Schizosaccharomyces pombe: one gene and its partner. Changing the gene in region 1 together with any one later gene gives a genetic interaction. Each region holds a gene or a part of one and is shown in the gene's direction. Other genes may lie near its edges.

Evidence for each region.
Region 2: mutations in pho8 (region 1) and ftm6 together harm fitness more than expected from each alone (negative genetic interaction), as found in Schizosaccharomyces pombe (one large-scale study listed by BioGRID).

Annotation. Positions count from the first base shown.
Region 1 is NC_003423.3:4,182,605-4,186,543, reverse strand, and holds the start of pho8 (alkaline phosphatase), read left to right. Parts: upstream 1-1,925; 5' UTR 1,926-2,019; coding exon 2,020-2,224; exon of another isoform or gene 2,225-2,358; coding exon 2,359-3,752; 3' UTR 3,753-3,939. Other genes in the region: SPOM_SPBC3F6.01C (serine/threonine protein phosphatase), read left to right, coding at 1-1,071.
Region 2 is NC_003423.3:8,490-12,000, forward strand, and holds ftm6 (transmembrane helix domain-containing protein), read left to right. Parts: upstream 1-2,079; coding exon 2,080-2,520; 3' UTR 2,521-2,862; downstream 2,863-3,511. Other genes in the region: ftm5 (transmembrane helix domain-containing protein), read left to right, coding at 1-525.

The DNA of each region.
Region 1 (3,939 bases):
CAATTGGTCAAAAGGATTCGTTTTCAGGAGGCTATTCATAATACTGAACCTCCTTCACCACTTGCGAATATCAACATTGAAGACATGGACATTCCTTCTGACTATGATGGTGTAATATTAGAAAAGCAAATAACGAAAGAGTTTGTTGAAGACATGAAGGAACGCTTTTGCCAAGGTAAAAAACTCCCCCTAAAATTTGCATATAGCATATTGCGAGACTTAAAAGAATTACTTGAAAAAACTCCTTCTTTAATTGACATTCCTGTTAAAGGGGATGAGACATTGGTTATCTGCGGTGACACCCATGGCCAGTATTTTGACTTGTTAAACATTTTCAAACTTCATGGTCCTCCAAGCCCTACTAACAAATATTTATTCAATGGTGACTTTGTCGATCGTGGTTCGTGGTCCACTGAAGTCGCTTTTACTCTTTATGCATATAAGTTATTATATCCGGACGCTGTTTTCATCAATCGCGGTAATCACGAAACTGACGATATGAACAAAGTCTACGGATTCGAAGGTGAATGTCGTAGTAAGTATAATGAGAGGACATTTAATATTTTCTCGGAAACTTTTTCTCTGCTACCTCTTGGTTCCCTAATTTCCGATTCTTATCTTGTTGTACATGGTGGCCTATTTTCTGATGATAACGTAACATTAGACCAACTACGAAACATTGATAGATTTAGTAAAAAGCAACCTGGACAATCTGGGTTAATGATGGAAATGCTTTGGACCGATCCACAACCTGCTCCAGGACGAGGACCATCGAAACGTGGGGTGGGTTTACAATTCGGCCCTGATGTTTCAAAACGTTTTTGCGAGGCTAATGGTCTTAAAGCAGTGATCCGTTCTCATGAAGTCAGAGATCAAGGCTACGAAGTTGAGCACGATGGTTATTGTATTACTGTGTTTAGTGCTCCTAATTATTGTGATAGTACCGGAAATCTTGGTGCCGTAATTAAAGTTAAGGAAGACATGGAGTTGGATTTCCACCAATTTGAAGCCGTTCCCCATCCTAACATTCGCCCAATGGCATATGCCAATGGACTGCTAAGTGGTATGTGATGGGAGACTGCAAGCACTGTTCTCAGTGTTTGCACCCACATTTTTTTAATTTTCTGGTTTTTGAAAAAATTTGTTCCACAGCTATATGATCCAGTTAAATTATTTTTTGAAGACTTGGTTGTTTGGGTTTTTATGAAGTTACCGTCGTTCAAAAAAATAATGCTATTTGTATGTTTAATCTTTAGCTTAAGGATTGGTTTCGATACCTGGATGGTTAGGAATTCCCAAATGTTAATTCCTGATTAGCTACTCTTTATTCCAAAAGTTCCATTTCACGTTCTTTGTACAATAAAAATATAAATAATGTTTAAGTTCATATGAACAATGAAGTAAATAAAACAATTGATCCTTTAATATCGCACTGATTTAAAATGCTGTCTTCTTATTATTATTACCCTCAAAATTCACTGCCATCATAAGTCATCAATGTGTCTTCTACTTTAAACACTGTACTTTATTTTCAAGTAACAGTTCAGTCCTTTACTTGTTTGTTTATTTTCTGTTCACAACTCATTTGCTTATATATATTTTTTTTCGTTAATGACAAGATCTCAATAATAGTCGAAAGGTAATTGCATCGAATTTTGGATATACGGGATTTTCATGTCAGCAGCTGATTCTAATATTTTCAACAGCTACTTGCATTTGACAGTAGATATTACATGTATATATAGACAGTTTTACCATCACGCTATTTCTTGTGGACTTGGTGAATTGCCATTCTCGATTAACTTGTGCATATACTATCCGATATCAGATTTAAGATAGCGAGGATCGACATGGAGAGTTAATACTTTAAACCATGACGTCATGCAATGTATGGTTGAGCTGTTTCAACACCAAAAATTTGTACTATCCATCAACAAGTCATACGCGTTGAAACGATCTTTACCCTTTGACATCCCTTCTTTTAGAGATATTCAATTTTTACCGTTTAAATAGTTTTCAATGGCATCTGAGCGCGATCCTCTTCTGCCAGTGCATGGCGAGGGTCCGGAGAGCCCTTCTCGTAGAAATTGGAAAACTTGGATAAAACATGGAATTCTGTTAATCCTTGTTTTATCAACCGTTATATTTTTTTATTTTTTCTCGTCTCATAAGTCCAAAGGGACCAATGAGAAACCAAAATTTGTTATTATGATGGTTTCTGACGGTAAGTGATTGGAGTAAGCTCTCTCATAAATCCGTTGCTCTTTTGAAGGAAAATGATTTTTTTTATATTTAGAGCACTGGGACGGAATCTTCCTTTTTTTTACAATATTTCTCGGTGACTGACTTTTTTTAAAGGAATGGGACCTGGCTCTTTGTCTATGACTAGATCGTTTGTAGAGACTCTAAACGATAAAGAGGGTTATAGGCTTCCCTTGGATGAGCATTTAATTGGCAGTTCACGGACACGTTCCAGTTCGAGTTTGATTACGGATAGTGCAGCCGGAGCAACCGCATTTTCTTGTGCTAATAAAACCTACAACGGAGCTGTTGGTGTTTTGGATAATGAAAAACCTTGTGGAACTATCTTAGAGGCTGCTAAAGAAGCCGGTTACTTAACCGGAATTGTTGTCACAAGCAGAGTTACCGACGCTACACCTGCCTCTTTCTCTGCTCATGCCGCGAATCGATTCATGCAAGATTTAATTGCTGAGTACCAAGTCGGGATGGGACCTTTGGGAAGGAGTGTTGACTTATTGTTCGGTGGTGGACTTTGTTCATTCTTACCTAAATCTACTTATCGATCATGTAGATCCGATAACTTGGATCTTTTGAAATATGCTAGGAAAAAAGAAGGTTTCCAAATTTTGCTTAATAGAACTGACTTTGATGAGCTATCAAACGCTCAATTGCCTTTGCTTGGTTTGTTTTCTGATTATCATCTCAGTTATGATATTGATTATCAGCCTGAAGTGCAACCTAAGCTTTCTGAAATGGTAGAGACGGCTTTGGATGTTTTGCTCAACGCCACTAATGAAGATACATCTAAAGGATTTTTTTTGCTCATAGAAGGGAGTAGAATTGACATGGCCTCTCACAACAATGACCCTATCGCTCATGTTTACGAAGTTATGGAATACAACAGGGCCTTTGAAATAGCAAGTGCATTTGTAGAAAAGAATGGAGGATCTTTAATCTCTACATCGGATCATGAAACTGGTGGTTTGACTGTTGGTCGCCAGGTCTCCAAAAAATATCCAGAGTATTTATGGAAGCCGCAAGTCCTATCTCTTGCTCTCCATTCTATTGAATATCTCGCTTCAGCTATCGTGAACCATAACCAAAATACGTTGCTTCCTTATATTGAACAGTTTGTTTTACCCGCAATTGGCATTCCTGACCCTAATCCAAAGCAGATTCATGACATATACGTGGCCCGGCATAATATATTTAATCTTATAAACGTGCTTAGTGATATTGTTAGTGTAGAAGCACAAATTGGCTGGACCACTCACGGCCATACTGCTGTCGATGTAAACGTTTATGGAGTAGGAGAGGTCACTGAACATCTTCGAGGAAATATGGAGAACATTGAAATTGGACAGTTTATGGAGATATACTTAAATGTTTCACTAAGCGATGTAACTGAAAAGCTCAAAGATGCTCCCATACATGGTGCCCCAGATCGACCTAGTTTAGTGGAAACTTCATTTTCCGATCGTCTTGTAGGTTTCGGTGCTGATTTGTTTTAAAGCCTTTTAATCAAGATTGCCATAAATATATAATTTAGAATACTCTCATATATGCTCAGCTTATTTAAATCGCTTAATTATGGCATTCAAATTCTTTTTAAGTTAAACCTATTTTACTTCTTATCTTTTACTTTATTTAATTTCCACTGTGGTTGAGATATCCAACAATTGCGATTTAAGAGCAAAC
Region 2 (3,511 bases), 4.2 Mb from region 1:
ATTGATTTTCTTCGGACAAATTTTTATCGATTATTTGTGATTTACTGTGCATTGGGTTTCGGCATAACTAGAACTGTTCCTAAATATCTTATGATAAAAGGAATTAGTATTGTCATTGCTTTATGTTCTGTATACTGGATTTCTTTATATAAAGACGTATATGTAGTATCAGAGATTTTTGACATGATCCAGTATGAGGTATCTCCTGCAATTTGGGTGTATTCTATTTGTCATTTATTGAAACAATGCACGTCTGTAACAACTTACGAAAATGCTTCAAAAGCCAGATTTTTTAGAAGAATGCTAAATGCATTTATCTTTATATTCTGTGCATCTCCAATGTTGCATTACCTGTCGAATATTATATTTGGAAACTTTGATTACAGACTGTCGGTGATCATTGGTGATCTTTTCACTTTTATGGAGAAAATTGCTTTTCCATGTTACATAATGTTTCCCACCCATAATGAAGCACTTGCCTACAATCGAAATGTAGCTGAAGAGGCTCAAGAGAAAATGATTTGACAAAAACCATGGTTTACTTGATTCACCTTTAAAGGGGTTACCGGGATTATTTTATTTATTATTTGTTTATCAATGGATTAATATCCAGTTATTTTAATCTCACTTTTTTACACAGAAATTGTGTAGTAAGTTCATTCTTATTTAATATACCACCTATTTATTTTTTACAAATGAATATTTTTTTACTGGAACGTTTTAAATACACATAACCTTTGAGTCGATGTGAAATAATGTTTTGTTCAAACTTAAAAGTTGCGAATCTGACATATAGACAAAAAAAAAATAAAAAGAAAAAACTGGTTACCTTCATAAACATATTTTGCTAATTTATTGAATTTAATTATTTTCAACTTGCTTTCCCATTTTCCCAACAATTTTTTTATCTATAATATATATTTTACAAAATTAATATAGTACATCGCATGGTTTTCTTTAAAACGACATAAACGTATAATAATAAACGGGGATTCAAAGTAATAAATCGAATCCAAATCAACTTTCAAATACATCCATTTCATCTACTTTACCCTTATATTCCCCTTCATATCCCCAACAAAAAACAGGAATTTGCGAAAGTAGTAAATGGTAAAAGTGAATAAATAGAATCAAGGTTAAAAGCTTACTTGTATGCATAAGAAGATAACTCCCTCCTCTTTACTTTTGCTTAAAAACAGATTCTGAGATTCGGGACTAGCATCGGTAATATAAGTTTTTCTTTCATACTGTTGAGTACTAGCATCAGAACCCTTAATGGTAGGAAGATCATCATCATGACTACGCCTTTGTTCAATCGAGTAAACATTTGCTGGTTCGTGCCAGTCACACTGAGAACAACAAAGTACCTATTATTAAAAATGTTAGCAAGCGATCGCTAACAAGTTGAAAAGTAAACACCTCCAACTATTCCATGGAAAGCATGTAACAATGAAGATCAATGAATGGCTATTAGCTTAACAAACTTGTAAACTCAAAACAGACTAACAACGTTTGTCAGGCACTAAGAGCAATAATGGAACAGACTTCATATCAAACGCTTTCTTGAATGTTCTTACCTTATTCGTATAAACCGGAAGAACAGGCACAATGAGAACCGTTACGGTTTTCAACTGACGACATACTCGGACTAAAAACAAAATGTTATGTTAACATTAATAAGACAAGTTTAAAAAAAAAAAGAAAGAGCCAATTGCTTTCGAAACTACTCAACTTGTTTATTTCTCGTACCAGTCTTCTTTGAACTAAAAAAAAAAAAAAAGCATTAGCAAAATGTGTTGTCAAACGGATAAAAAGAGAACAGGAAGAAGATTGCTGGAAACAATTTTAAAACAGCGAATAAAAAAAAAAGAAAAAATAATAATAATAATAAACAAAATACGAGTCGCTAATTTTTGAAACTAATCGCTTCCAACAACTGTTTCATTATAACTTCACCATTTTAATATTGTCCCCAAACAGCATGATTTAATTCTCTTTCACTAATTTCATACCACACAGGACACGTAAGTAAAACATCCTTATAATCGTCAGTGGATATCCACATATCTCGTAAATGTAATGGCATTGTTAAAAAAAATAAACACTCAAGTGAATAGAATTATGAAGAATTCGAGTCTAGTTCAAAATATTTGTTTTGACAGAGTCCCTCTATTTATACCAAGACTAAGCCTCACAGTGAAATATTGTCTAGCAGTAAAATTGCTGATTTATTTATTATATTGTTGGTACATTTACTCGGAAGTACCATCGGCTTCATCTAAATTCCGATCCTTTACATTTGGATGCGTCGTAGTATATCATAACAAATTTTTTCCTCGTTTCATTAGAACTCACTCCATTAACTCCATTAGAACGTTTTCTAAATTTCAAGTCATTATACTTTTCTCTATTGAGAAAGTCACTAGGTCAGAAAGCAAGAATCATTCTTACTCGAAAACCGATATTAGTGATCTGCACCAGGGCTATAATAATCCACCATCAAGATTCATATCACAATAACAATTCCATAGTATCTTGCTATATACGTGTAATGAGTATTCGATACTGGCTTGATTGCTATTTCTCCTTTGCTTGTAATCGTAAAATTGACTTGAAGATCTAAACCTTCTAATGCAATCATTGGAATTCTGCCTAACCTGATCAAATATGGCTTGATCACCGTTAAGTTAAAAGCAGAAGCTATGCCAATCAGTATGATTGTAACTTACAAAAAAATATAGCACAACGACATACAACATTATGGTACAATAAAGAAGACTTGATATATCAAGAACGAGGTTCAGTTTGTGCTCCGTTTATATTATTGTATTTCTATATATGACATTACTTGATGCAACCGCTTAAATATGTACTTTTGTGTAGTTATACTCGCAAGTACAGTAGCATTTTTAAAGTAGCGGTGATGTTGACGAATGGTTTGTTTCAAATCCATCCATTTCAATTTCAATTGTAAATTTCTCTTTTTCAATTATTAATCAAGTAAGTTGAAGTGTATCAGCACAATAAATTCTGACTATTACTACTCTTAAAATAAAACTCAAGCGAAACTAATTTTTAATAGCAAGTCATATTCTTAGTTTGATATGCTATCCGCTTTGGTTTTGCATTGTTATGACTTTGTATAACCTAATAAGGTGACGAAAAATCAGTTCGTTTATATTTTTGATGAGAAGAATTCACTATTATTACACAGAAAAACATTTACTTCTTATTAGATACCTTCAATATAATATATTTTTTAAATGTAATAGCGACGACACTACCCATAATTTACAATACATTGTATGGTAAACAACTGAGTAGTTGATACACCCGATTTTCATTGAGTCATACACTTTGCGCTTACTATCACTTTATTTGATTAAATGCATAATTTACAAGCCATTCCAATATTTCGCGCACTTTTCGGACATAGTAATAAAAGCCGAGGTAGTTTCGGCGACTTGCAACATGTTTTTTTATCGTCAGCTCGGAAATAGATTTCCTGACA